Linked DNA regions of Notamacropus eugenii. The protein of the gene in region 1 interacts with the protein of each later gene in a pairwise test. Links are inferred from orthologs where the notes say so. Each region holds a gene or a part of one and is shown in the gene's direction. Other genes may lie near its edges.

Evidence for each region.
Region 2: the proteins of CBY2 (region 1) and METTL17 interact in binary tests that used the Homo sapiens proteins (3 or more experiments, as listed by UniProt). The link is inferred for Notamacropus eugenii from reciprocal best matches to the Homo sapiens genes CBY2 and METTL17.
Region 3: the proteins of CBY2 (region 1) and CNNM3 interact in binary tests that used the Homo sapiens proteins (3 or more experiments, as listed by UniProt). The two-hybrid records come from large-scale screens. The link is inferred for Notamacropus eugenii from reciprocal best matches to the Homo sapiens genes CBY2 and CNNM3.

The regions. Positions count from the first base shown.
Region 1 is NC_092877.1:296,276,903-296,287,364, forward strand, and holds the start of CBY2 (protein chibby homolog 2), read left to right. Parts: upstream 1-3,972; 5' UTR 3,973-3,987; coding exon 3,988-4,077; intron 4,078-10,462.
Region 2 is NC_092878.1:12,956,403-12,966,864, reverse strand, and holds the start of METTL17 (ribosome assembly protein METTL17, mitochondrial), read left to right. Parts: upstream 1-5,014; 5' UTR 5,015-5,070; coding exon 5,071-5,151; intron 5,152-6,431; coding exon 6,432-6,585; intron 6,586-6,674; coding exon 6,675-6,806; intron 6,807-8,629; coding exon 8,630-8,711; intron 8,712-10,462. UniProt on the Homo sapiens protein: Mitochondrial ribosome (mitoribosome) assembly factor. Binds at the interface of the head and body domains of the mitochondrial small ribosomal subunit (mt-SSU), occluding the mRNA channel and preventing compaction of the head domain towards the body.
Region 3 is NC_092872.1:523,500,973-523,511,434, reverse strand, and holds the start of CNNM3 (metal transporter CNNM3), read left to right. Parts: upstream 1-3,615; 5' UTR 3,616-3,642; coding exon 3,643-4,996; intron 4,997-10,462. UniProt on the Homo sapiens protein: Probable metal transporter.

The DNA.
Region 1 (10,462 bases):
GAAGATCCTGCACCTTGAATTTCACTTTGGTATGATTTTATCTTTTATTTTGAAAAAAGAGGTTATTTGAAACATAAACATGTAGTTATCAAGATAGCTGCTCCAAAATATAACATAGGCATAGGGAACAAATAGGTCTAATGGCATTTTCCAAATCATGTACTCACAGAACCCTGGTGTTCTGACTAATGGGAACCAGTAGAGTGATTTAAGAAAATTTCAATGCTGAAATATGAAATATAAAATTAAGTATATTAAAAACATTCTATATAGTGAGTTAAAAATAATCTTATTCCCCTCTAACATCCAACTTTCCCCAAGCTCTGTCTTTTTTCCTGGGGGTGAGTGGGTATTCCATCTCCCCCCCCCATCTCCTGGATCAGCCTTTAAGGTTTGAATTCATGTAGTTCATGCCTCAAAGTGGTCCATGGTTGAATAATTTTAGGAAATGCTGTTCTAAACCATATATTTATTTGAAGCCATGGTCTAGAGGATGAGGTAGAGTGATGTTGCATGTTCTTTTGCACTCAGATTTCCTTCCTTTGGGCATAAATAATTGAGGGTGTATGGTAAGCAAAGAAGCAAAATAACTATTCTTTTTTTCTATGGGTAACTGAGGTTTGAGCGTGGATATGGAAGAAAAAGTATATCATACTTGTTCCACTGAGTATCTCTCTTGGCCAAATTAAAATTCAGAGGGGCATGTGGTATAGGGGGAGGTGCCAGATTTGAGAAGCTTTTTGGTTCCACCTATGATTGACATATCGAAGAAAAATACAGTATGTGATTTTTAGTTAAAGATAGGCTTATTTCTTTCCCAAAATTATTGTGTGTCATCATGAAAATAATGTCAAATATCATCAGAATATTGGGATTTCAGCCCTAGTTCTCTCTGCCACTACTTAGCTTTGTAACCTTGGGGAAGGAACTAAATCTTTTCTTTTCTGAGCTTCATCATCTGTAAAATGAGGTAGCTAGTTCAGATCCGTTGTCTTCAAAGTGAGGACATTAGAATGACCCCACGGGGGTTGTGACTTGGCCCTAATAGATGAATTGATTGATCATTTATCCATTGAGAAGATGGGTCCCATTCTTGTCTCCCCTCCCCACCAGCCAATGGTAGGTCTTGTCTCTAAGACAACTCAACCACTTCCTCTAACACTTCTGTGTAACTTTACTCACTCCCTTGCACATTGGTTATATGGAAATGTGTTGGTCCTTCATGACCCAACTTCTGATCTAGGCACCAGGCAGCATCTGTGTTGGCAAAACTCCATCATTCCTTACCCCTCACTAACTTCACCCAATATCCTCTGGATGGTGACTACTGCAGTCTTTGAGCTCCGGGGAAAAGTAACTATATGCCATCAACCTTGCACAAACTTTTCATTTTTCTTTGGGAAGGAGTGAGTAGCATAGAATGAACAGATACAGATGGATTAAAATGAAATTATCTTTTACTCCCAATGCACTCCTTTTTTGAACTTCCTTATTTCTGGGGAGGGTACCATAATGCTTTGTTACCCAGGTTCTCAACCTCCATCTTAACCTTAACTTCTTATTCAATTGAAACTGTTCTGTTCAAAGTTACCAGCAATCTTTTAATTGCAAGATCCAATGGTCTTTTCTCAATTCTCATCCTTCTCTGACCTCTGTGACTGTGTTTACCACCTCTCTCCTGGGTACTTATTCTTTCTTCTTTCCTAACACTGCTCTCTTGGTTCTCCTATCTCTCTGACCACTCCTTAATTTCCTTTACTTGTTTATATCACATCCCCCAACAGTAAGTATTACCTTTTCTTGATGTGGATGATGTGTGTGTGTGTGTATATGTGTGTGTGTGTGTGTATATCCAGTCATAATCTTTCTCCTGAATTCCAGTCTCACATCATAAGTGCTTATGATGTATATATATATAAATATATATGTTATATATATAAATATATATGTTTTATATATATGTATATATATATATATATATATACCATAGGCATTTCAAAGTCAACATATCCAAAAGGGAATTCATTACCTTTTCCCCTTCACGACCCTCCTCCCAACCCACCTGTTTTCTGAATTTTCCCATTTCTGTTGAGCACACAATTTTACCCATTAGTCACTCAGGCTCTCAACCCTGGTGTTATTGATTTATCCTCACTCTCTCTCACCCCATATGGAAGTCCCGCCATGTTTACCTCCCCAATGTCTCTTGTATTCTTCCTTTTCTGCCTACCCATACAACCATTACCTTAGTTCTACGCCTCATAGCCTCTCACCTAAACTAAAGTAATAGCTTCCTAATTTGATCTCTTTGCCTCAGGTCTATCCCCTCTTTAATAAATCCCTAACATAGCAACCAAAGTGACTTTTTCTTAAAGTGCAGGTCACTTCCTTATTCTTCATTAACTCCAGTGGCTTCCTATTGATTTTAGGATCAAATGTTATTTTATCTGTCTCATCCCCACCCCCACCCACCAGTCCCCTAAGATCACTTCCCTAGTTATATCCTGGCCTCTCACTCACCCACATATGAATCCATTGCCAAATCTTGTTTTTACCCTTGCAACAACATCTCATATATTCCTTTTTTCTCCCATTCATACAGCTATCACCCTATATTTAGGCTCTCATCAATTTGCCTGGATTATGGCAATAGGCTTCTAATTAGTCTCCTTGTCTGTAGTCACTTCTTAGCCCTACCCATCATCAGTTCATTTCCCAAAGTGTTTTTCCCAAAGCTTCTAGGTCAGCCTGTGTGTGTTTCCCCTTCTTCCCCTCATTAAACTCAACTGGCTCCCTATTATCTGTAGGATCAAATATAAAATCCTTTGACATTTAAAGCTCTTCATTACCTGGCTCCTTCCTCCATTTCTAGTCTTTTTACACTTAATTCATTCCCTGTTCTATGACCTAGCTATATTGATCTACTCAAACACAAATACTTCATCTCTAACTACTCCTTGTATTAGATGGTTGACCCTTATGCCTAGAGTGTTCTCACCTTCCTCACCTCTAAATCTTGACTTTTTCAAGGTTCAGGACAACTCCCACCTTCTGCAGGAGACCTTTCCTGGTCCTCTCAGTTGTATCTTCCCCTCGAAGATCATCTCATACTTACTCTGTGTATGACTTCTTTGTACACATATATGTACATGCTGCCTTCCACATAAGAATGTGAACTCCTTGGGAACAGGATTATTTTTGCTTTTATTTGTATCCCCAGTAAGTGATTAATAAATGCTTTCTGATGATCTGACTAGTGTATATAATTATCAGTATAGTAACTATCATGTAGTAGCATAATTTATAAATGGGTAACTATGGAGACATGCACAGAAATTTGTTTCTACGAAAACAAGAGTGCAATCAAAAAAAGTTTGGAAACTCCTGGACTGGATAATTTTTGTTTTAAAAATATATGTTTTATTGAACATTTTTAAAACATTACTGTTCTATCTTAATGACACCCCCTCATTATAAACCTCCCTTGTAACAAAGAAGTACAACTGAGTAAAAATCCATGCAACATCCCTCCGTAGAGAGCACAGCCTTATTTCTTTCCCAGAGTCCATCACTATTCTGCTGTTAGACAGGGTCATGTTTCATTGGCTATAAAGATGATCTTTCTTTATAGCCTCCTGCCAGCACTAAAATTTCTAATCATTCTATGAAATGGTCCACCATTTCAAAACACTTACCTAAGACTTGAGGGGAGGGGATCAAACTGGTGCTTAGTCTAAGTAATGTTAAAGGGACCATCATTTTGACCAGTCAAAACAACTGTCATTACCTCTATGCCTACTTACCAAAGATGAAGAAGATGGGGGTTACAAATTTTCTGGCATCAGCAGGGAGAACAAAGCCTATGGAGCTGGCCAGAGGTATGATAGTAGCTTTCAGTACCTGGTTTCCGATTTACCAAATCGCTTTTCATTTGGTTGCTAGTAGATGCTACCAGAGGTTTGGATTGTCTCCTGTTGCTATGTCACAATGGGGGCTGCCCTATTCATTGCCCTCCACCTTGTTTGCACACTTCAGTCACTCAGCCTGAAATGTGGAATGAAGGAGTCAAAAGTAAAGGTAAAGCCTAAAATGCTTCATATAGGAATGACCGGGGTGAAAACAGCTTATTAGTGATCAGAGAGCGATTTTGAAAGCTGACCCTCCCCAAAAGAGTTTTCAGAAGGAAAACAGAGAATGGGAGGAAAATGATTGAAATTCTTTCTCTTAGTAGAAGAAATTGTAACAACTTGGGGCGAGGGTGACCAGATGGATTGCACAAGATGCCAAGAGAGCATTGGCAATTCAGGACACTCTGATTCAAAATATATTTACAGCCTTACGTTGAACAGATCATTTTCTACCAATTTCATGCCATACTGATTAACTAGAATTAAATCTGTATCTCCTTATGAGAAGATGCTGCTTCTGGTGGTGGAATAATAACATAATGGTTGTATGAGTATGGGAAGGTTTATGTTTAGGACTTAAATACTGGTAGTTTTTTGGTTTGTTTTGTGTTGGCATGGTGGTGTGGGTGGACATAGAGGTGGCCAGCAGCTCCTGGAAGAATCTATTACTGTTGGTAGCTCTTTCTTTTGGGATTCTGTCTATCCGCCCCATTAGGTCTGTGCATTAATATTTTGAGAGGCAGCATGGTGTGATTAACAGAGAGACAGTCTCAGAGTCAGAAAGATGGATTCTAGTTCAGCTTCTGACACAAATCAATTGTGTGATCCTGGGTAAGTCATTTAACTTTCTAGTGTCCTCAGGAGATCAGCTTTCTGAAGTTGTTGATCTGCATTAGTAGAGAATGTTCCCTCAGGTCTGGTAAACCTCCCCTTGCCATACACACACACACACACACACACACACACACACACACACACACACACACACACACACATACACACCAAAAAACTTATGGACAAGTGATAAAAATACAAGATATGGAAAACCAGGAGAGGAAAGAAAGGGAAATGATGTGATTTAGAAGAATTTTTCCCTGAAAGATCTATCCTTGATGGTAGCTATGTCTGTGACTTGGCAGTCAATTCATAGAAAGTAAGGACCCAAGGCTGATGAAGGATATAGTAGATGGTTAGACAGACAGAAGAATAGGAGGTGGGCAGTGTGTTGGGGGAGGGAATATTTACCAAACTTGATTCTGTGCTTTGGAGGAGGGGAGTATTCATTCTTCCTCTGCACAATGGAGGGGTCTATGGAAGATTAGGCATGGGATGCATAGAATGCTTTCTGGTGATGTGTAATGAAGATGGATAACATCTTCCCAAGGGCTCATTGGCATTGGCTGAGGGTTAGTATCCTGGGGATTAGATATTCTGTTCCTGTGACATGTCTTTCAAGAAATTGGAGACAATCTGTCCTCTTGCTGTGTAAGGAATACTCCTAGAAAAGAGAGGTTACTCTTTTCCAAAGTGCTTTGAACTACTACTGTGTTGTATTAAGCAAAAAAATTGCCTGATGCATCAAACAAAGATAAGAGTAGAATTTCTGGCCCTGGTTTCATCAATAACTAGTTCTGTGGCTTTGGGCACATCAGGTCTTATCAGAGCCTTACAGCTCCCCATCTGTAAAATGAAAGAACTGGGCTAAATGAGGAGCTAGGAATTTTTTGAGGGGAGAGAAAGAACTTATTTTGTAAGATAAATAGAATATAGCTTTTTGAAGAACCACACTTTCTTGTGTACATACATCACAGAGTCATAGATTTAGAACTAGAAGAGATCCTTAGAGGTCATCTTATTCAACCAGATAAGAAACTCAGGCCCAGGGTTGGTGACTTGCCTAAGGTCACACAGGTTGCAGAGTCTAGGACTCAAACTCAGGTCCTAGTTTTTTTTTAACTGTCCCAGATATAGATCAGCTCAGATGACACTTCTTTTCTGATTCTCCTAGTCATTAGCATGTATCTTTGCCACCTAAAAGTATATTATATTTATTCATCTGTTCAAATATTGTTTACCCTTCCTTCTCCTCCCTCTCCTACCCCCAGTAAAAATGTCAGCTCCCTGAGGTATGGGGCTATTTTTACCTTTAATTTTTTTATTCCCAGCAATTCACACAGTTGACTTGTACATAGCTGACAATAAATGCTGATTTAATTGAATTATGTGTGTATATATATGTATATATATATATATATACATATATGTATACATATATATTTTTGTTGTTAGAGGTTTGGTACCAATCTCCTCTATGCTGTTTTACATATTGTCATTTTATTTAATTCATTCACAGTGCATTGGGAGGCAGCCTAGTATGATAAGAAAATAAAGACTTGGTCTTGAGATCTGTGTTCAGACTCATCTCTGACACATCTTGCCTGAATGGCTGTAGGCAAATCATTTAACACCTCAGTATCCCCAAGAAATTCTCTAAGAAGACCAAAAGTGCAGAGCAGGTATCTGTATCTTTATTGGTAAAGGGGCTTACTCCTACAGAGTTCTGGTGAAAACAAACCAACCCTATGAACAAGAGTTGTGTCCAACTCTTCATGATCTCATGGACCATATCACATCAGTGCTGTCCACGGGGTTTTCTTGGCAAATATACTGTTTTGATTTACCATTTCCTTTTCCAGTAGACTAAGGCAAACAGAGTTTAAGTGACTTGCCCAAGGTCATCACACAACTAGTAAATGTCTGAGGCCAGATCTGAATGCAGGTGTTTCTGATTCCAGGCCCAAGGCTCTATCCACTGGGTCATTAGCTGGCTTCTACGTAAACAGTGGTTAAGTGATGTCAAGGTCACATAGCTAGTAAATACTGAAGTTGGATTCGAACTCGGGTCTTCCTTACTGCAGATCCAGTGTTCTATCCACTGAGCCACCTAGCTGCCTCACATACATAATGCCAAATAATGACTATTAGTGTACTTTAATGATGTCAACTAAAACACAGATATAGGCTCATTTACTTTATCTGTACATCGAAAACCCACTGCCCCCCAACCCCAACTTTAAGGTCTCTTCTTTCTGTCTGGTTGTAATTCCACAACTAAAATAATCTTTTCTCTTTCCTAGTCACTCTTACTCTGCTCCAGAGTGCTTCCAAGATGTCAGGAAGCCAGTATATCAGGGTGGAAAAAACTCCAGCTTTCAAGTATGAGGATCAGAGTTCAAATCCTCTCTCTGCTTTTATTGCCTTTTTGGCCTCAGACAAATTAATAATTTGCCTGAATCTCAATTTTTTCACCTGGGAAATGCAGGGGCTAGACAAAATGGCCTCCGAGGTCCTGTCCAACTTTAGATCTATGGTCTGCCTAGGGAGCTTTAGGAGGGTAGGAGTGTCCACTATTTTGTCAACAGGATTTACAGTGCTCCATTTCACTATACAAGCGCCTCTGGGTCTCCAGCCCATCAGATCTTTTCTTTCTCCTCTATTACATTGCAAATTCACACAGTTTGCTATTTGTTATCACCTCTAGGTCTATTCAGGCTTTATTGATTTCCACTTTTTCTTTCTCACATTAAATATTTGTGTTCCTGATTTATTTCCCCCCAGTGCATTGACTTGCAGTGTTTTTTTCCAAGCTGTCATTGTTATTTCTTGCCTGGAAGCCTGACCTGTGAGTTCCCTTTGTAGACAGCAGTTTCAGTTCTCCCTGGTATTTGCAACATTTCCCAGTTGGAGGAGGCTCTGAGAATTTCATTAAGGTATTGTTTACTCCTAGATCCTTAATGAAGATTCTAAATAAAATTGGAATGAACACAACAGATTCTCCCCTCCTAGGCTGCTTCCTGACACATTTTCATTTCTCATTACCCTTTGTTTGTGTCTGTCCTTCAGACACGTGGAGCCCCCTGACAGTACTCATATCTGTGCCAATTTAAATAAATGTTTGGAGTAAGATTTCAAGAGATTCTGTGTCAAATGCTTAACTAAAAGTACGATATATGACATCTCCTTTATCCTCTGTCTGCTTCTGTTGTAACTATGAAAAAACACACCCTGCAATCAAATTTGTCTTCCTGGGATTTATGAGCACATGCTGTTTATTGCCGATTATCCTTCACATGGCAGCAAATTTTTTCTTCTGCTAATGTATAGACTTGGTTGTTGCACCTGGAGCCAAGTTACATTTAAAGATCTATGTTAAGGGAGGATCTCTAACTCCCTCACTCTCTCTCTGTCTCTGTCTCTGTCTCTCTCTGTGTGTGTCTCTCTCACTTTCACTCTCTCTCTCCCTCACTCACTCTCTCTGTATCTGTCTCTGTCTCTCCCTATCCAGAGTGAAAACTGGTACCATCTTTGGTTTTTCCTTTGGAGTTTTCCATCTTTCTAGTTCTGCAATTCAATTTTATTCAGTTTAATGGATATGTATTAAGCATGTGTGGTATGATTTGAACTGAGAATGAAAAGATGAAAAACTATTTGTGGTCTCTGCCCTCAAAGGGTTTACATCTAATGGGGAATGCAACATCTCCCCATTACATAAATATAGAATCTCAGATGTGGAAGGGAACCTCAGGGGTCATCTAGTCCAAAGTGTTTTTTTCTTTTAATTGGGATCTGTAATTTCCTTGTATGGTAACTCCCAATGAAGTAACTCTCTAACAAAGCAGATAAGCAACTTTTAAAATTTAGCCTAAAAAAGTTTAAACCATGCTTGAATAAAATCCCCTCTATAACCTCTCTAAAAATGGTCAGTCAGCTAATCTCTACAAGCTTTTGAAGACTTCCATTGAGGAGGAGCTAGCTCAAGAAGACCTGTGTTCAAATCTGTCCTCAAACACTTACTTAACTTGTGTGACCCTGTGCAAATTATTTTAACCCTATTTTACCTCAGTTTCCTTATCTGTAAAATGAGCTGGAGAAGGAAATGGCAAAAAGCTCCAGTATTTTTGCCAAAAAGCCACAAATAGGGTTGTGGAACAGCAAGGACCTTGGCATACACAGGAGGGCCTGCTGTACAGGTTCTTAGTTCTGCTTTTCTAAAAGGAAAGCAACTTTTGAGGGGCCAACTTTAATCAAGCACATGTATCATTCACTTAGTTCAGGGGAAAAAGTCAGCACCCTGAACTTTAGGGAAAATACAAACAGAAACTGCAAGCAGAAATTATACAGAAGGACCAACAGATAGGGCTTCCAACAATAGGCAATACATACATCACAGATCAACAGACAGATCCAATTGTCTGACCATTACGTACATACATATAGAGAGTGAAGCATCAACATCTGAGTTTTCAAAGCTGGGTCAGGGCCGACTTCTTAGTGGCTACCAAGAGTCTCATCTGGCCAACTAAACACTTCCAAAGAGTAAGCCCCAAAACAAAAACCTCACCTCAGAGAACATATACACTTTTCAGAGCCAGAGAGCATCACAACCCTTGAGAACCAGTGCCTCACTAGAAGTGAGCAAAAAGTGTGGGCCTTCCTACAAAACAAATCTCCCCTAATCAAACTTCCCTTAATGGGCAGGCCTATTAATAGGTGGGGAAGATCTTTAACTCTCATTAACGTAATTAACATTACAGGTCCTGACAAGTTGGACAGGACTGAACAACAAGTGAGGAGGATGTTCTGTCAGCCCATTCCACTTTTGAATAACTCTAATGGATAGGAAGTTTTTCCTTCCATTAAGCCCAATTCTTGTGTTTAGGTACAGTGAGTGTATTCAGAGTAATCAAAAGTAGTCTAGGAAAATTTTAGATAGAAGAGATTACTTTCAGACAGGTAGGGGAAAGTATGGTGGTGAAAAAAAATAGTGTCAGAGAAGGCTTCCTAAAGGAAAGGCATCTGAATTCAAGCTTGAATAGGATTTAAATAGGCCAAGAGGAGGGCCTTCCAGGCTTAAATCTTATGATATGTGGAGGTAGATGCTGCTAATGTCTGAATAGAATTGAGCTGGCTTCTGTGATCTTCATAATAGCTCCTATTGTTGTTAGTCGTTTCAGACACTTCATGACCCTATTTGGGGTTTTCTTGGCAAAGATCCTGGAGTGGTTTGCCATTTCCTTCTCCAGCTCATTTTAAAGATGAGGAAACTGAGGCAAACAAGGTTAAGTGACTTGCCCAAGATCACACAGCTAGTAAGTGTCTGAAGCCAGATTTGAACTCAGGTGTTCCTGACTCCAGACCCAGTGTTCTATCCACTATGCCATCTAGCTATAAAATAGTTGTTTAAAGATATTAGTTAGCAAGTTTGGCCAGAGAAAGTTATTGTAGTACAGTAGAAAGAATGGTTGCTTTGGAATCAGAAGATGTGGGTTCAGATCCTGGTTCTATTACTTTTATCTGTTATACTTTGGGCAAGTCGCTTGACTTCTTTGATCTAGCCTCAGTCTCATGTGTAAAAGTTGAATTAGATTAATCAATTAACAAGTATTTCTTAAGGTCACTTCTACCTTTAAATCTATAATCCCATGACTCTCCTCCAGGGCACACTTGAACATTTTACCCAACGGCCTGTGGGTAGCCTGCCCACAATTTCCCAA
Region 2 (10,462 bases), on another chromosome or scaffold:
ATGATGTTGGCAAGGATAGCCAGCCCTTTCTCCACAGAAACTATGGGAGCCAAGCTGAAAGCAGAGCCATTCGATCATTGAACCAGGAATCACTACTAATCCAAAAGCTCTTGGACTCAGGGTCCTGGACTGCCATCATATGAGTTTGAGAGGAGGTAATGGTTACAGTGAGGATGTTTTGCTCACCTGACACATACCACCTCTTGTCTCTCCCTCATAGTTCTTTGCTGCCTCAGCTAGGCTGGCTTGCTTGCCTTATATTCAAATCTTGCTGTAGGTCAATTAGCATTTACAAACACCTACTATGTGCTGGTACTCTCCTAAGCACTGAGAATAAAATATAAAGAATGAAACATTCCTTATTCTCAAAAAGCTTATATCCCATTCAAGGAGACATGAACGTTCTGTTTAGAAGTCTCCATGTTTTCCCCAAGTTCTAAGGCTCCAAAGCAACTTTCATTCCCAACCCCATTTACATTTTCCCATTGTTGTTCCAATAGAGTTCAGGCAGTTTACTGGATAAAATGCCAGACTTGGAGATAGGAAAACCTGAGTTCAAATCTTGCCTTAGATACTTACTAGCTATGTGACCCTAGATAAGTCACTTAAGCTCTCTCCGCCTCAGGTTCCTCTTCTGTAAAATGAGGGAACAGGATTCATTGACCTCTAAGGTCTCTTCAAATTTGATATCTATAATCCTTTGACCCCTATGATAAATTTGTATGTGACAAGGGACAATTCTAAAAGGTTAGGGCAGAATAGAATTAGAGGCTTACTTCTGAGGCTGGCAGAACCTCCAGAGGTCTTCTAATTTTAGGCAGAGCAGTTCTGACTCAAAGGAAGAAGATATGAACTCTTCTAGAATTCCCTTACAAACTTGTTCCAATTTAACTATTGGAAAACTCTTTATATCTAACTATAATGTTCAACATTTCTTCTCACCTTTTCAGCAAAGAATAGTTCCTCAGAACACTAAACACAGTTGGTTAGTCACTATTCATTGTGAAATAACCATTGATTGTTAATTCACCTAATCACACACACACACACACACACACACACACACACTCACACTCCTTTGTCAAAAACTTTTTTCTCTTCTCTGAACATTCTCTAGTTTATCCACATTCCTCTTAAAATATGGATCCTCAGAAGATTAATTATAGTATAGAATATGGGTGCATAAATATTGGAGAATTACTAGAGTATGAATTGTTTCTGCAGGTAAAATGTTATGAGGGTTTATGTTATGCCGCTTCCAGGGGAGTGTGGATCTGATCAGTCCCTATCCGGACTTCTCCATGCAAAGAGATGTAGAGGTCACCCCCTGAGACTTGGAGACCTCATTTTATCATCATCATCAATAAATATTTATTGAACATTTACTACGTACTATGCACTGTGTGCAGTGCTTAGTGTTAAATATACACTTGGTATGTCTTTGATCCATGACCAAGTAAGAAGGGTATTTTTCTCAGAGCAGTGAAATAGACAATGCCCCAGGCTGGGAGCCAGGGGCACATGGATTTAGGTCTAAAATTTCCCGTGGAGATATTGCATTATTCTAGGCAAAGACTTTTCTCCCTTTGTTGCTCAGTTGTTTCAGTCATATCCAACTCCTCATGGTTCCATTTGGGGTTTTCTTGGCAAAGATACTGGAGTGGTTTTCCATTTCCTTCTCCAGCTCATTTCATAGATGAGGAAACTGAGGCAAACAAGGTGAAGTGACTTGCCTAAGGTCACACAGCTAGGAAGGGTCTGAGGATGGATTTGAACTCAGCTCTTCATGACTCCAGACCTAGCACTCTATTCAATGCATCACCTAGCTGCCCATCTTATAGCTACCCCATCCTCAGCCCTTTTTCTCTGCTTCATTTGCCCCAGCTATGATGTTGGTGGGGAAAAGATCCCATACCACTCTTCTTAGTACCAGATCAGTATGAGAACTAGGGTGGCAATCTTCATCCTTCTTGAGTCCTCTGCAACCTTTGACGCTGCCCATCCCCTTTTTCTCCTTGATACCCTCTGCTCTCTAGTTTTTCTTGATATTGCTAACTTGGTGATCTTATGGTTCTCCTACTCACCTGACCATTATTTTTCAACCTCATTTGCTGGATCTTCATTCCATGTTATATACACTAACCAGGGGTATCCCCTAAGGCTCTATCCTTGGCTCTTTTCTGTTTTCACTCTATACACTTTCATTTGGTGATCTCATCAGCTCCCATGGATTCAATTATCATCTCTGTATTGATGATTCCCAGATCTACTTATCCAGCCCTAATCTCTCTCCTAACCTGCAGTCTTGCATCTCCAAGGATAATACTATCCTTCCAGTTATTCACACTCACAATCCTAGGGAACCCTCCATACTTAATCTGTTTGCCAAATATTGTCAATTCTACCTTCATAACACCTTTCATATATCCCCCTTCTGTCCTCCAACACTGCCACCATCTTGATACAGGCATTTAACACTTCCCTCTTGGACTATTGACATAGCCTACTGCATGATCTCCCTGCTTTAAGTCTCTCCCCACTCCAGTCCATTCTCCACTCAGCTATCCAATTGATCTTCCTAAAACACAGGTATGACCATGCCATTCTCTCTCTTTCAATAAACTGACTCCCTATCCTGTCCAGGATCAAGTATAAAATCATCTATTTGACTTTCAAAACCCTTCATAACCTAGACCTTTCCTATTTTTCCAATCTCTTTATTCCTTACTCCCCTCCAGGTACTCCTCAATCCAGTGAGACTGCCTTCCATGATGTTCTTCTCACAAGACAGTCTGTCTCCTGACTCCAGGCATTTTCATGGGTTGTCCCCCAAGCGTGGAATACTCTTCTCTACATCTCTGTCCTGTGACTTCCTTCAAGTTCCAGCTAAAATTCCACCTTCTATGAGAAGGCTTTTCCAATTCCTCTTAATACCTTAGTGCTTCACCCCTGTTGATCATCTCCAATTTATTCTGTTTATATCTTCTTTTGGCACATAGTGGTTTACATGTTGTCTCCCCAGCTCCTTGAGTAGGAACCATTTTTGCCTTTGTATCCCCAGTCTTTAGCACATATTGGGCACTTAATACATGCTTGTTCACTAACAGAAGCAAGAAACAAGAAAGCAGAGGGTCTTCACAGATCATTTTTTTCAATCTCATCATTTTACAGATGAGGAAACTGAATCAGTAATGGAAGTGACTAACAAAAGGATGTCCCGGTAGTAATAAAGTCCAAAGTCCTATGGTGCACTTTTCATTGCAAGCAGGATGGTTGGTGCCTTCCATTAAAATCCCTACTTAACAGTTACAATGCCTACACTTTAGTTCAGTACACTCCTCTATGTCCTTCAATCACATGCCATTTTTTTCCTAACTCTCCCTGGAACTGCATTCTCCCTCCTTTGCAATGAGAAAAATGAGGAAGGGGAGGATTTGAAATCACTGAGTGCTAAACTATGAAGTTAACACCTACCTCAGAGAAGAAACCCTTGGGCAAGTTACTTAACTTTACCTATACTCAAGATTCCTCTTTTCAAAATAAGTGTGACTCATCCTATCTCACAATTCCTGCAACACTCAAAGGTGATAAGTGCATATGAGAAGACTTTACAAATTCAATTCTTTATTATTACTCTTTTTTTCCAATTAACAACTAGATGCTGACTTCACCTTTCCTCTAAAAAACAGCCTCTGAGAGACTCTTTGTTGTCACACTGGATATTTTTAATTAGTATCATTTTTTTCATAGGTGCTCTTGAAAATTTTTTTTTTCTTTTTAAGGGGAAGCTCATCTTTGCTTCTGTATATCCACTTGGGTCATCTTTTCATATAGTTAGCCAATTAAAAAGCTTTGATCTGCATACTCATGATACAGTAATAAAAGTTTTATAGAAACAATGTTTTTTCTCAGTTGGAAAGCAAAAGTTAATAAACCCAGATTTGACAATGATGAAGTATTCTATCCAATTACAATATTGGCCAAGTGGAAAAATAAAAGAAATAAATTTGCAGCATGGAATTATTTGAGTAAAACATACTAAAATTCCATCCTTGAAAGACCAACAGAAGGGTGCATTTTCTAATCTTTATGTGGGGATTTTATACATTTATAACTTTATTACTATGTAACTGAAGTTATGTTTATAAATCCTCACGTTTCAAAACAGCTCAGAACGTGCCTCAAAAACGTGAACTGAAAAATAAGACTAACACATTAATCTTTGGCACTGGACATACTAAACTAAGTAGACTTATATATAGGATGAAGACCAGTCTTTGGGAAACATGAAATTTCTATTTGGGACCATTTCTAACTATGTAAATCCAGATTTCCAGATTTTATTTAAAAGCCAGTTCTAAACAAAAGTATATGCAGTCTTTTTTAAAGAGAAATGTTTTTCCTAGTAGGGTTTTTTATATTTCAGTTGTGATAAATACACTTAAAATTTGGTCTTAAAGGTAAAATGTTTACAAGACCACCTAGTTTTATCAAATATTTTTCCCTTCCCAAACCAAACCAAATTAACTTGTACTAATTAAAACTAACCACGTGCTTTCTTGCTAATTAGGCAATCATTTTTGGTTTGGACAGGATGACTCAGGGGCCACTGTTTTAAAACAGCATTCTGGTGATTCTACAGCATTTGCAAGGGAGTACCGTTTTGTTATACAATCTGTTCATGTAAAACTTCAGAAGAGATGCTGGATGACGTCATCCTGAATGTAACGAACAAACCAATACTGTAACCGCAGAGGTTTTAAAAAAAAAAAAAAAACACTCCTGCAAGAAACTGACACAGGGCCAAAGACTGCCTCCCCCTGAGACCCTCGCGCACGCTGCGCTTTCTTCCCATTGGCTAAATCTGACACGTGTCCATCTTCTCACCAGGGAAAACATTCTTGCGTCACCATAAATTTACATAGAGACCGCCGATTGGCCCCTAGAAATCATCGTCCTGTCCCGATTGGTTGATGACGTGTCCAGCTCTTCTGGAGGATGTGGAAGAGTTAGGTAACCCCGGAGGGTCACGGGCGTCTCCAATTCCGCTTCCGGTTCGCCTCAGGAGTCATGGCGGCCACCAGAAGGCTGAGGCCGCTGCCGTGGGTGGGAAGGTGGAGCTGCTCGCCGGCGGGAACCCCGTTGTTCCGGGTGAGAACTTTGGTCCGCTCCTGAAAACAGCCTTGCTCGGTCGCGTCGGGAAGGCCTTTGAGGGGGAGCCCACCCGCCCCATCCCCACGCGTGTCTGTGATCGCACACGACACAGTCCTAGAGGGACGGAGACAGGAAGAGCGAGGCAGAGGATGGGATAGAAAAGAAAAAGGGAAGATGAAAGCGGGGGGGAGGGCGGGGAGAGAGAAAGGAGAGTGGGAGTCTGGGAATCAAATATGCAAATATATGTAGATGCGTTCTCCACGTGTACGAGGCCAGAGGGGCCGAACGAGGCCAGAGCCTGCGGCTGCACCCAGTCTGATCCAGGCTGTCCGGGCTTCCTGGGCCCAGAGAAGCAGCCCCCAGTCAGAATCCATCAGCCCTGCTCATTCCAGGCGTTCTCACCCACAGCGAGGCCTTCTCGGACCCAGGGCAGTCACTTGTTGAGCATGTGGGGTGGGCCGAATCCTTGGGCAGCTGTGCATCAACCTTTGGGGGGAGAACCCCACTCCCCAACCCAAGAGAACCCCCCATCCCTGGAGGAGACGTCTGTCCTGAAGCAGATTTAGAAGGAGGTCTTAGAGGATATCTACCTCAAGCCACTGGCTTCACGTTTGAGGTGCCAGCCTTTGGGGGGACAACCCCACTCCCCAAGCCAAGAGAACCCCCCATCCCTGGAGGAGACATCTGTCCTGAAGCAGATTTAGAAGGAGGTCTTAGAGGATATCTACCTCAAGCCACTGGCTTCACGTTTGAGGTGCCAGCCTTTGGGGGGACAACCCCACTCCCCAAGCCAAGACAACCCCCCATCCCTGGAGGAGACGCCTGTCCTGAAGCAGATTTAGAAGGAGGTCTTAGAGGATATCTACCTCAAGCCACTGGCTTCACGTTTGAGGTGCCAGCCTTTGGGGGGACAACCCCACTCCCCAAGCCAAGAGAACCCCCCATCCCTGGAGGAGATGCCTGTCCTGAAGCAGATTTAGAAGGAGGTCTTAGAGGATATCTACCTCAAACCACTGGCTTTACAAAGAGTTTGTAGGTAATAAAGGACAGGTGTGGGATCCCTTCTACCTTGCCATGCTGCCATCCTCCAGAACGTGCCTCTGGACTAGCAGTTTAAGAAGTCTCAGTCTGTGCTGTGCCGAGCTTTTGTCAAATGAAATAATGCACATAAAACATTCCTCAAAATCCTAAAGTATCATAAAAAGTGAGCTGTTATTACCCAGATTTCCTCCTTCGCCAACTTAACCTCATTCGGTTTTCCTCTTTCTGGACCTCAGACGCTTGCCGACCTTGGTCCCAGAGTGTCCCAGGAGAATGATATATTGGATTTCCTGGGGAAGAGAGCCCACCGCAAACATCCAGGGGTCCTCCATTTGTCCCAAGTGCAGCTGCCACAAGCCCTGGTCACTGCAGCCCAGAGGCTCTTGCAGGGTGAGCAACTCTCTTGATCAAGAAAATAAGCAGAGAAAAGAAAGGAATTTTCATTTCACTGATAGCCCCTTTTCATGTCTGACCCACAGAAAGCTCTCTGCCCAACATAGAGAAGCAAGTTCAGACACTCACCAACTACCTCTGGAGTCGGAAGCTTCCTATGGAACCTGAGGAGCTGCGCAGAAAAGCAGTAGAGCTGGAAAATAAACTCCAGGATACAGGTAAAGGCTTAGATGAGCCGAAGGAAGAAGCCAGGTTGGACTGATTCAGAGAGCAAAGATTCAACTTTACAGACAGATATTTAATCTTCCAATATGTCTTTGGTGAAATCAGTCATAAATAACGCTTTACAGCCAGAAGTTAGATGTATCTGTAAAATGGGAATTATTTAATACCCATATGACTTATTACAAGTATTCAGTCTGAAGACCTAATGAGAAATATATGTGCAGAACACTTGGTAATTGATAAACACATTACTATACTAGTATCATACATCTTTGATTCTGTTGTACATCACATACCAGGGGATGCCTGGATATCCAGACCTTTCTCTCTTCCTTTAGAATGATCTGGATCAGGAATGATCAGGAAATGTGTTGAACCTTCCCAGGTTGTACTGAAGAATGAAATCCCACCCACACACATTCCTCTGTCACACCCATGACTTAACCTAGATTTGAACTAGCTTCCAGTAGTGTTTTCGCACAGTTATGACATTCTTGATTTCCCAGCACACTTTCCTTCAGGACAAATGCAGAAAGAAGTATCAGTGATTTCAGACTTGAGTTATGATCTGCCACACATTGTTACTTGCCTCAGTGTTGATGAACAGCTATTTCTTTTAATTAATTAATGAGTTGATTTTGTGAGCGTTAGCTCTCCCATACCTCACACTCCATTATGGAGTTTTTTTTTTTAAATCCTCATGATGGCCATGCAGAGTCCAGCAAAACAGATTCCCACATTGACCAAAGCCAAAAATGTACATCTCATTTACGTTTTAAGTCCATCAGTTCTGGCAGGAGATAAGTGATATGTTTCATCTCTTCTTCTTTGGACTCACAGTTTATCATTTTGTCAGAACTCTAAAGTCTTTCAGAGTTATTTTTCTATACAGTGTTCTTGTCATATAAATCTTTCTAGTTTTGCCCACATTACTCTGCATCAATTCGTAGAGCTTTTCCCAGTTTCCTCTAAAACTGTCCATTTGGTTATTTCTTACAGCACAATAATATTCCATTACATTCATATGCTATACTTTGTTTATTGCTGTTGTTAACCATGTCTGACCCTTGTGACCTCATTTAGGATTTTCTTGACAAAGATACTAGAGTGGTTTACCATTTCTTTCTCCAGCTTATTTTACAGATAAGGAACTGAGACAAATTGGGTTAAGTGACTTGCCCAAGTTCACACAACTAGTAGAGCGTCTGAGACCAGACTTGAACTCAGGAAGATGAGTCTTCCTGACTTCAGGCCTGGCACTTTATCCGCTGCACCACCTAGCAGCTCATTATTTATTTAACTATTCTCTAAATAGCTAAATAAATTTTAGCTATTTAACATAGCTAAATAAATTGTCATCCCTCTAGTTTGTTTGAGACTATGTGTAGCTATTTCTGAGGCTACTTGTAAGTAACTTTGCAGACTGCACTAGACTCCACAGACCCAGGGCTGAAAAGACATGTTGCAGAAGAATGAATAAGTTCCTAACCAAAGCAGTTTCCATCATCCTGTCTTCCCAGTCCCCAGTACTCATCACATTTACCCAGAAGCAAAACTGAATTAATGGTGGATGTCACAAGGGGCAGCTAGGGAAAATGAACTATCAGAGAAAGAATAATGCTTTGCCTAAACCATTGTTCTGATGGCACAGAACATGTCTTTCATTTTTTGTAATATTTTTCTGTAGATTTAGACTCGAAGCCTCCTGGGTTTTATGTCCCTGCTGGAAAAAACAGGAGCTAAGGGTATTCCCATACTAAGTGCTGGGTTTCACCTTGCTGGTTCCTCAAGTCCAGTCTTTGCTTTCTCCTCTCAGGATCATTACAGTCAGAGAAGCAACTTCGTGGAGCTGTGTTGAGTGCCCTTCGCAAATCTGTCTACCATTGGCAAAAACTGAGGTAAGGAAACTACCCCAAGGCAGTGGGTTTGGAGGGAAGAGTTTGTCATGAAGATCCAAAAGAAAGGCAGCTTTACCCCAGGGAAGGAGATAGGGGTATCCGGGCCCAGGGAGATCTCCTGATAAACTGAGAAAAGAAAGGACAAGTATCATTGCCAGCCTTCCCAGAGAGTAAGGGAAGGCCTAGAGGCTAGGGAGGAATCTGGAATCAAAAAAGAACTTTAATGTCTAAAAAATTTTTAAATGAATAATTTTTTAAATGTTTAAAAAAATTATGAAATGGATAAATTCAGAGGGAACTGAGAAGACGTTTACGTTTTGATGCAGAGCCAACAAAACAATTTATGCAGTAATAAAAGTATAGAGAAAAGAATTTGAAAGATTTTAGATCTCCTTATCAGTGAAAACAGTCAGTTCAAGAAGATAATGAAATGCCTTTTAGCCTCTTGACAGAGAGCTAACAAACTAAAATGAAGAGGTGCGCGTCTTGGGTGTGGCTAGTGTAGGGGTTTGTTTTGCTGAAGTGTGCAGGTGTGTATTTAGAGATATGTTATTTTTGTTTTATAGTTTGCTCCGTTGGGGGTAGTAGAAGAAACAAATTAATTTTGAAAGCTTACTAACTGAAAAAATACAAATGGACAGGGAAAAAGGATCCTTCAGGACTTGCAGGGGAGAGGGGGGAAAGGAAAGGAATGGAAAATCCTCTTAGTTGCTGTATCAGGTTGTCAGATATAAATTTTAAATTATCCCTGTTTAGAACTGAAATTTATGCTCTCAAAAATATTTCATATTTCACTCTGATTTTGAAAAGTCAGAGGTATGAAGGGCCTTTTTCTGTGGCCTGTCCCATTTCCCATCTTAACAGAAGTGGTTCTGGGTTGTGGAGGTCCATTCCTTTACTCATGCAGCAAACAGTTATTAAAACTATTATATGCTGTACCTGTGGGGAGGTTCAAAGGTAAATTCAGTTCAGTTAATAGAGATATTTCTAGGAATTCTAAGATTTCTGCATAAGTAGCTATAATAAAAATGTGAATATGCTGAAAACACTAGAAAAGTACAAATATATTGACTTCAGACAAAGCAGAAATAACTACAAACTGGGCAGATCAAAGAAAACCTGGTGGAACAGTAAGCATTTGAGCTGGACCTTGAAGGGGCAGGATTTCAACATTCTGCAATGGGAGGGACACTCTTCTAAGTGTAAGACATTTATAATGTGGCATAAAGGTAAGAAATCAAAGACATCTTCTGAGTTCAGTGAATCTACCCAGCTAGAGGACCTGAGAGGTAAAATGTGATATTGTCTTGGATGTGTAAATTGGAAACAGATCCTCGAGGGCTTTGAATGACAAACTAGAGAATTTAATGCTAACAGTAACAGCGAACATTTACATTGCTTTAAGATTTGCACACTGATCCATCTGTGCTCTCTCATTCATTCTTCACAAGAATCCTGTGAGGTGGCTGTTATTTTTATCCTCTTTTATGGCAGAGGAACTTGAGAATTAAAGAGGTTAAGTGATTTGCCTAGAGCCACACAGCTGGCGAGCGTCTGAAATTGAATTTGAATGAAGGTCCTCTTTACACCAGATCTAGTGCACTCCTGCACAGATAGCAGTGGGCAGTTGTTGAAGGTTTTTGAGCATGAGGTGCCATAATGTAAGCTCTGCTTTAGAAAAATGAATCTGGAAGCGCTAAGATGAACGAAATAGAATGGGGGTTAAGGGGGTAAGTTAGGGGCTTTGGCAG
Region 3 (10,462 bases), on another chromosome or scaffold:
TAAAATGAGGATAGTAATGCCTGTGGTGCCTTGAGCCTATAAATGTCCATTGTTATTAAGATACTATAAGAAGGGGTGGAGACTATAATTAAGGAAAACCAGAAGGACACAAATGGGCCACAGTCCAGGCCCGAGGGATTGGTTAATGTCTGGCTTAGTGCTGGGGTCATACAAAGAGACACATCTAGAAGCCAGTGTAAGGGGAAAAAGTTAGGAATGGACTGGGTACATTACCACCACTGAAAACCTGCTGGATTCTTTAAAGTCTTTGGATATATTTTAAATGTTTTCCAAGTTTGTTAATTCCTAGTAATATCAGATAATCTTAAATCAATGGATAAGTATTTATTAATAATAACTTAATTATTAACATTTATTAAGTACCTAATACTCTTTTATAGCTCCTCTTTTAAGGAGAAAATTACTTCTCTAACAATAAGAAACTGCTTCTGGGTCCACAGGGGCTGGTGTCCTTTGCCCATTCCCTTCTTCATTACGAGGTCCATGTACTATGGACATATGTACATGGTCTGGACCTGTTCAGTCCTGGTAGCCCACCCTCTAATGAGAGTGGAGCTATGCTCTCATTTCTCATTCTTCAGCTCAAATCTTAACCCTAGTAATCCAGTATGACTTAGCTTAGGTTTTGGCTCATAGCTGATGTTTCTCCAAAAAGGGGCAGTAGAAAGTTATTCAGTGTGTATCATGAATCAGAGATGCAGGTATGCCTACACACAAGACAAATAAAACACAAAAGATAGCTCACACTGACAGAGCAATTTAGAACAGTGTTTTGCAATAACTGCCATTAACAGTCTTCTGGGAGGCTGATACTTAAACCTCATCACAACATAAAATAGTTTGCAGGTCTGGCTTCATATTAGACACTTTACATTTCACAGGAGCTCTCAACTGTCCAAACAACTCCCAGTATAACATCTGGTAAAATGGAGCCAATGATGGTCTTGTCTTCTATGACAAAGAAAACCCCCTTGCAACCAGGCAGTTTCACTCAATAAACCCAGTCCTTTTGGACCTCTTGGTCTTAAAAGTTGACTCCAAGCCTTTATACCTCCACCTTAAGGTTGATAATTACCTGTTCAGAAAGGGAAACACAAATCAGCCATAGGTCCAGATGCAAGCTTTCTTAATAGAATCCATTCTTCTTGTGGGAGTAGGGGAAAGCACATATCCCATCTCCACACAACTCATTGGGAGTTAAGAGAGTGAGTGAGCTCATTACTTCCCCTGCAGGAGAGTCAAGGCAAGGAGAGCTGACAGGAAGCAGGTTCTTCTTTGAACTGATTCAGCATCCTATCTCCTTGCCATCATAAGATGGGAAGAAGGACTAAAGGTCCATTCAAGATTTTCCAGGAGTCCCTTCAGCACTGGCCCCAGACATCTCATTTGTTTGACCAGGATCAAGAAGTGTAACTGAGAATGTCCTGTAGTATGTACCCCGTTCCAGACATACAGAGCAGTGAGTAAAAATCCAGAATCTGTGTCTACTCACAATGGTCAGTCAGTTGTGGCAATTAAAGTTCTTTTTGGCCAGCAGAACTTTTCTATCTTCTCCAGTTTGGTCATATTTAAAAAAAAAAAAATTTTATATTTTAACAGTTAACAAACATTTCCCAACAAAACAATCAAGCAATTTTTTCTCCTCAAAATACATTCCTGTAAAAGTTATCCAGCTTGAGTTTCCCACTACACCCTCTCAGCCACCAAGGGTTTCTAATCTAATGGTTGTCCTGTCCAGAACACACACCTTAAGCTAGGAGTCCCCTAAATCCATCGACCATTTCAGCAGCATTACCAGAGCAGTTTCATCATTATTCACATTTATATGGCATTTTACTCTTATAAAACCTACTCTTCATAGCAATCCTAGGAGGGGGGTAGTGTTACAAACGAAGAAACGGAATTTCACAGAGGCTAAGGAACTTGCCTAGAGTCATACAGCTATTAAGTAGCTGAGCTGAGGAATCTCAACCCAGTTTTCCTGGATCCAAATCCAGGGTTCTGTCTTGTATTCCATGATTCCTAACTAATAATTGCCAAGCAACATAGAAAAAAATAAAATCAAATGATCTCTTGAGCTAGTGAACCTGACCTTGATTGTACTCTGTTGATTTTTCAGGATCTCTTCCTGGGATTGCTTCTCCCTGGGATTGAAGTTTAACACAAAACAAAATACAGGAATGCTTGCATGGTTTGAGGCAGAAGAGACCTAGGAGCCTGTCTGGTTCAATCTAATTTCACAAACAAGAAAACCAAAGACCAAAGAGGGCAAGCAGACTCTAAAAGGTAGAATGTAAGTTCCATGAGGACAAGCACTCAGGCATATAAAAAAAAAAATTTTTTTTTTTTTTGCATCCTCAGTGCCTTGCACCTAAGATAGTTAATACAGATTTATTGATTTGGAATTTAATTGGGAGGAAGAAGAATTTGAATCCTGCCTTATACTTATTAACTATGACACAGGGCAACAACGTCAGCCTTAGTTGGTTGGATTCAATGACCCCTAAGGTCCTTTCCAGCTATAAACCTATAACCTTATAGAACCCAGTAGTACTTCTCAATCAGTGTGTGCCTTTAGAAGTTGTTAAAGTTCTTTGAAGAGAGGACTTCGGGAGGTGTTGGGTTTCAGGTACCCAATAGTTGGTCAACTTGCTCCATGAGAACAAAAACCTGTTTTGCGGGGCTTTCCCAGTTCTAGGACCGCCACGGCTTGGCCTCTTGTGAGTCAATGGACAAAAATACTCCTAGTCGATGCTCAATTCAATAAACCTTCATCAAGTACCGGAGCAGATAATAACGACACAACAAAAAGCCTCTGTCCTCAAGGAGCTCACCCACCGATAAGTAAATATAACACATATACCAAAGGAATATAACTAGGGTTGGGATTGGTTGGTTGGGGCGAGGAGTGAGAACACTAATAACGGAATCAGGGGAGATCTCCAGCAGGAAGGTGGGCAGCTGCACGTTGCAGTGGATGGAGCGCCTGGCTTGAGCCAGAAAGACCAAGTTCAAATTTCTGAAATGGGCGGAAGAAGGAAACGGCAAAGCACTGCAGTATCGAAGTCGGACACGACTGAAACGGCTCACCAGCTGATAATTGGGGGAGTCAGGAAAGGTCGGTCTCCAATAGGTAGGGGCACTTGAAATTAAGCTTTGAGAGGACCTTAAGCAGTGATGAGAGAGAGAATTTTAGGCGTAAGTGATGGACAGCCTGTGCAAACGCGTGGAGATGGGAGATGTAATGCTGTGCTTCTGCATTAAAAAAAAACCAACTAAAATAAGGAGCCTAAAATGTAAAAACATTAAATTAAATTAACTCAATAGATTCAACTGGCACCTTTCCCCCGCCTCCCGCCCCCACTACCCAACCCAGTTCCCAAGGGGTCAGACGGAGCATGTCACCTCTTTAAAACCAAACTCCACCACGTGCCCCGCCCCCCTCAGGTCACCCGCCCCCATCTTGTTTACAACGCGGCGCAGCCTAGTACTACTCCTGACGCTCCGCCCCCCTCCGTTTCCTATTGGCCAGAGGGGCGCGGATGGGCGCGTTGACTGGCCGGAGGGAGGCGGGGACCCTGGAGTAGGTTGCGCGGGCGGCCTAGAGGGGGGTGGCTGGTGATGGCGGCGGCGGCGGCAGCAGCGGCGACAGGCGGCCTACGCTGGGTGCTCGCCGCGCTGTGCTTGGGCTGCGCCGCTGGGGGGGAAGCGTCAGGCCCGCGCGTGCTGGGCTTTTGCTTGGAAGAGGACGGAGACGGGGCCGAGGGTCCAGTGTGGGCCCGGGGCCGGGTGGTCCGGGCCGCGCCCGGGGCCGCCTTCCGCTTGCGGCTCTTCGGCTCCGGCTTCGCCAACCGCTCGTGGCCCTGGGTGGCCTTCGCTCCCGCGGGCGAGGGCTGCCCAGAGGGGGGAGGGGAGCCGGAGCAGGGGGGCGCGCACGGGGGCGCGGGCGCGCCCCTGAGCGTGAACCCCGAAGCCGTGCGGCCTCACTCGGCGCTGCTCGCGGTGCGCGTGGAGCCCGGCGGGCCCGCGGGGGGCGCGCGCTACCGCTTGTGCAGCCGCGGGGGGCCCCAGGGGAGCTGGACGCCCGCGGCCGAGGGGGACTCGCTGGCCGTGGAGGAGGAGCCCCTGCTGCCCTGGGCGCTGGGCCTGCTGGCGGCCGCGCTGCTGGGGCTGGCGGCGCTGGCCCGGGGGCTGCAGCTGAGCGCCCTGGCGCTGGAGCCGGCTGAAGTGCAGGTGCTGCGCGAGAGCGGCTCGGAGGCGGAGCGGGCGGCGGCGCGGCGCCTGGAGCCCCTGCGGCGCTGGGGCAGCTTCGCCCTGTGCGCCCTACTGCTGCTGGCCAGTCTGGCCCAGGCTGCGCTCGCCGTGCTCCTCTACCGTGCCGTGGGCCAAAGAGCTGTGCCCGCCGTGCTGGGCAGCGCGGGCCTCGTCTACCTGGTGGGCGAGGTGGCGCCCGCGGCCGTCAGCGGCCGATGGGGCCTGAGCCTGGCCCCGCGCGCGCTGGGGCTCACCCGCCTGGCCGTCCTGCTCACTTTCCCCGTGGCCTTGCCCGTGGGCAAGCTCTTGGAGCTGGCCCTGCGCCCGGAAGGCGGGCGGCTGCGGGAGCGCGTGGTGGATCTGGCCCGGGGCACTGACCCCTACAATGAGTTCGTGAGGGAGGAGTTCAGCAAGGGGGCCCTGCGGTGCAAAACGGTGGAGGACGTGCTCACCCCGCTCAAAGATTGTTTCATGCTGGACTCTTCGGCCGTCCTGGACTTCGGCGTCATGTCCACCATCATGCAGAGCGGCTACACCCGCATCCCCGTGTACGAGGAAGAGCGCTCCAACATCGTGGACATGCTCTATCTCAAGGACTTGGCCTTCGTGGACCCGGAGGACTGCACCCCGCTCAGCACCATCATCCGATTCTACAATCACCCCCTCCACTTCGTCTTCAACGACACCAAGCTGGATGCCGTCCTGGAGGAATTCAAACGAGGTAACTGGTGCTGCCGTTCGGAGCTGTGGCTTCCTCCTGTAGGGAGTTGGACTGGGATTTGAATGGGATACTTGGAAGAGTGGGGCGGGGCCGCTGATGTAGGGAGGATGTACCCTGGTCTCCGTGCACTTGAGTATCCATTGGATTTTGGATTGCGAAGCTGGTAGGGACCGCAGAAGTCATCTAGTTCCACCTCCCTCATTTACAAATGAGGAATCTGAATCACACAGCCCAGGTGGCCCAGCTGGAATTTGAACCCAAATCCTCCATCTCCAAACCTAGCTTTCCTCTTGTCCTGTAGCTGTCCTGCAACCTCGTTTCATTTGAAAAAAAAAAATTCAGTAAGACAATCTAGCCGAAGGCAGGGGTCAGGGCACAAGGATGTGCCATGTCAAGAGAAGTATTAAGAAGTCTGTATGGAAGCCCAGAGCTGGGGGAAGATCCTTGGCCAAGTCGCCTTTTCTGGGTCTCACGAGCACAGGAGCGTAGATTTTAAAGCCAGACCTTTGCGTCAAAAGAACTCATCGAAGACCTGAATCAGAAACTGAAGGGATCTAATGGTTTTAGAGCCCTGGATAGTCATAGATTTGGGAGCTTTAGAGAATCAAACCATTCCATCCTCTATTTTAGAGATAAGAAATCTGAGACCCAGAAAAGGTGAAGAGATTTACCCAAAGTGACAGTTAATGAGTGGCAGAGCTGGGATTTGAACTTGGGCCTCCGGATTCCAGATCCAGTGCTCATTGCTGGACATCCATCTTAATTTCAGTTCACTTTGTTAAATTATTGGTTGCTCGAGTATTTATATTATGTGTAGAATACCATTATTCTCCTTCCCCTTTCTTCTTTCTTCCCTGTTAGTCAGTTTAGGGAGTCTTGTTCTTTCTGAGATCTTTTGTAGAATTTCTGAGGATTTCTTAAACTATAGCTGGAAGCAGAACAAAGCTCGGAATTTGAATTTAAAGTTTTATCCACCCTTGTGGGGAGGGAGCCCATTTATCTGTTCATCTTTAAGTTGGCACTTTCAGTTTCTAGGGGAACCTTGGATACTGTTGAAGGCATATAATAATAACAATAGCAAAGACTTGTTATGTTTACAGAGCATTTAGATATGTTTTCTCATTGGTTCATCTCTACCACCCTGGGAGATTGGTACTGTTGTATTATCCCCTTTTTACTGGTGAGAAAACTGTCCCAGAGAAGTTAAGGGACTTGCCCTGGGTCACACAACTAGGTCAGGCCACTAAGTCTCTGAAGTTAGTGCAGCCCTCTGTGCCACATGGCTGCTTCTGCCACCTGTGCTGTCTGTTTACAGAGAATAAAGCAACAATACTTAAGGTTTTCTAAAGAATAAAGAACTTTTATTTTTCTTTATTTAAAACAATTTTACTGATGTCACTATAGCTTTTGTCTTTCTTCTTGTGTAGCACCTTCCCTTCCCTCCAGGTTACTGCCCCCATTTGCCTGTGCTTTTCTTTGAGAGTTGAGAATAAACTTGTCAGACTCCCTGGGAAATACAGGGTGCATGATTCCTTTTGTTTTCTCTTGCCTGTATACATTGTAGATTTTATCAGTAGGTCACTTCGGGGTTAAAAGGGTGAGACAACATAGTACATAGGGAAAGAGGCCCCTGGCTCTGGTGGCTGAGGACCTGAGTTCAAATTCCACCTGACATTACCTGAATTCCTTGGGCAACCATTTAACCTCTTTGGATCCAGTTTCTTCATCTGTGAAATGAGAGGGGTGGTGGATTATTTGACCTTTATGACCCCTTCCAACTCTAGATATATGATCCCAAGATCTGTTAACAGATTCGTTAGGGCTTCTGGCCATTTGGGGCTGTTATTCTTACTTAGAAAAAGTGACTGATACATGAGATCTAGGGTGGGAATGGAGCCTCAGGCCACTGGATGGGTTATGCCTTAAGGACTGCCTTAATATCAGACTATAAACCAGATAAACTGGGAGTGAGCAAAGACTTCAGGCTAAGAGAAATAAGAAAGGTGTTCTTGTCCTGATGTGTGCAGTAAAACTCTGATTTTCTGTATTGAGGCAAATGTATCCAATAATTACATTGCTCTTACTCATCAAGTAGCTTGATATTTCACTTTAAGACAGAAAAGTTTATAGTTCTTATGCCAGTACTGAGTCTGGTTTTCCCCAGTTTTTGTGGGGAGGTATTTTGTAGGAGAATTCTGATCAAACTGATGAGAACCATTGATTTGTTTCGAAAAATTCTTAATGCTTTGTTGCCTGGCAGACAAGTTGTGCTACTGAACAGGCTCTGGGGGAGCCTTTGAGGTAGATAGCCAAACAGCCTGCCTGCCTTGGAGCTTCATGCAGAATATGGTAGTTGGGGTGGAGCTTCTGCCATCCTGCTAAGGGCAGTTCCACTGGTATAATGGCAGAAGTGTTCTCTTGCTCATAAGCTCCATCCTTTTAGCTCTTAAATGTTTTATCTCTGGGATACATTCCTTCCCCTCAGATTACCTGTCACTGTACTATTTTTAAAAACCTGATTTAGCACTAATGATATGAAGAATTTTTCTTCCCTTATGTTTCCTGTCTCATTCAAAGGTTACACTGTCTTGGGGGTTTGGAGGGAGAGACCAGCTAATTTTAATCTATTTAACTGTAGTTAGTTAAGCCTCCATGTTGTAACCCAATGAACTCAGTTTGTGAAATAGTGGTGACTAGTTGTCTGCTGTGTAGTGCAGTGGGGTCCAGGAGCTAAAGTGTACAGGAGAATGATAGAACAGCTCTAGGGGAACCAGCCGCACCCTCAAAATTGAGGTATCTTTCATTGGGCTAGAGGACATTATTGTTTCCAATAGGGAGTTATAGCAAAATTGAGGATGAGGTGAATAGGATGATAAGGAGGTTGGAAGATTTTGTTAAGCCTATATGGCATTTCCTGCAGGTTCAGAGTTGGGATCATTTTTTATTTAATCAGGCTTTTATTAGGACTTTGATCTTTTGTTGTGGTGCCCCTTTTTAAATCTGCTACATTTTTTTTGCCTCAGCTGAAATCCTACTCCTATGCCTACTTGTGGTGAGAAGGTGACCATGAGTTCTCAAAGGCTATTCCAATGAAATGTAAGTCATGAAAGGGTCCTACCAAGCTGCTAAAGCTTTTGAGTATTTTGTCCTGTGGTGGACTCTGTTTTGTCTGAGCCAGTCACCAGAATGGCTGCAATGTGGTGAAATTTGACTAAAGGATGGTCGTCTCAGGTAGAAGAAATACTCACACTGCTGAGTTGAGTTATAAATCCTTAAAGCTTTGAAAGATGTGGGGGTTTTGCTTTTGTTTCATTTTGTTTTCATTTCTGGTTTGTTTGGGGTTTTTTTTAGTGATGTAATAAAGCACAAAAGAGGTAGTGTGGTGGCGTAGATGAATTGGCTCCTGAATTGAGAAGACCTGAGTTCAGATCCCACCTCTGACACAGACTGGTGTTGTGGCCCTAGTAGAGAGAATACCCACATTGATGAAGTTAAAGATCCTTAAACCTTTAGAAGATTTTTTTAAAAAGATTAAATAGAGCACTAGATATATACTTACTCTCTCAGTGCCCCAACCTGTAAGTTGCCTATAAATTGCAGAGCCGTTGCCAGTCTGTGCTAGTAAAGGGAATTCCTCCCTGGAAAGTTGCTCTACTAGAGAAATCACTGGTCAAGTTAAAAAAAAAAAAAGCCATCACAGCAGTTATTTGATTGTCAGTATTTGTTGTCTCAAATGTGTGGTTTTGATGGTGCAAAGGAGCCTTCCCCTTTTCAGTTTTTACTCGCACACAACCTTCTTATAGAGCCCAGTAAGCATTCTTGTAAAGGTGCCTGCCATTGCTTCAGTCTCTTTCCAAGTGGACCAGCTGCCGATATTCTGCCAGGCAGCAGATATTTTTCAAACTAAGAAAATTTTCCAAAGTCTTGTCTTGAGGAATTTAGGAACTCAGTGGGGCAGCTCTCCCCAAGGTACCAGCCAAGTTGCCCTCCTAAGCTTCTGGAGCAGCAGCTTCCTAGGGACCTGGGAGATGAGATTCTATAATGGCAACTGCAAAATGGAGAGACCTAAAAGTTTTAAAAGGGGGCTTCCTTTCCATGTTGGGAGGGATGTGTTTGTGTGTGTGTGTGTGTGTGTACACACGTGATTCTCAGATTCACCCCCTACTGAAGGGCTTCTCTTTATTTTTCTTGTTGATTTACATTGACATTCTCCTGCTGCAGCTTAGCAGCCTGATGCTGAAAGGCCATTTTAGGGAAGCTAATCTGTGTCTCCCAGTTGGTATCCTGTTTCTCTTCTCTACCACCCCTTCCATCCTACTCTTAGCCAGTATAATCCTCTTGATAGATGTCAATCTTCATTTTCACTCCCATCTCTCCTTTCCCCTCTTCCCCTTTTGTTTCATTTCATCTTAAACCTGTTTTTATAATGTTTTCGATCAGTGAGCATATTATATTGCTCTTGCAGCATTCACATGAGGTTTTAAAAAATAACCCGTTCTCTAGCTGACAACCATCTTGTAAGTTGGGAGCATTCCTAAAAGGAATATGCAGAAAAATACCCAGAACTAGACTCAGCAACTTCCTCCTCTGAGGCCAGGGATCATATGCTCATTCCTTCATGGAGCATTGACTGTTTCTTCCTTCTTGTTGAGGGAAGGCTGCTTTCCTGGACAGAAAACCCTTCCTGATCATCCTTGAAGTTTTTAAGATTGCTGACTTAACACAATTTTACACTGTATGAAGATCACCAGAAAGAATGAACACTGTGGAGCTCCCTACAAAGGAGTCCTGCAGCTGAGCAACCTGTCCCAGTTTTCTATTTGACAACTTGGATTTTAGCATGATTTTCAGTGTTCTCACTTGCTGCTTCTTAAATGGTTAGTTCAGAGGTGGGAAACCTGCAGCCTCAGGGCCACATTCAGCTTTCTAGGTCCTTGGGTGTGGCCTTTTGACTGGGTCTGAGTTTTACAGAACAAATCCTTTTATTAAGGGGGTTTGTTCTGTGGTTTGGATTCAGACAAAGGGCTACACTTGAGGGCCACATGTGGCCTTGGGGCCACAGGTTTGCCACCCCTAGGTCAGTTGCTTACAAATTAAGTCAGAGTTGCTCAACAGTTGAAACCAGTCAGGTTTGCTTTGATAGTTATTAAGAATGTTAATAAGTTAAATCTCCCCTTCCCAAGGAAATACAGTTGCATGGTTCTTAGAGTATCCTAGAAACTATACCTTACTTGGAGGAGAGTAATATCTATCTGGATCTTTCCTCTGCTCTCGATCCTGAAAATCTTTTTTATAACAAAACTATATAGGGTGAAGTTGTCAGGTTGCTTTTAACATTAGGGTTGATAATAGCAACATAATTTGTTTAAACGGTAATATATTTTTAAAATTATGTATTGGCATTTATGCATAGTTTACAAATATAATATTCTGTAAGAATACCTTGAGTTGATCTGCCTGACAGAC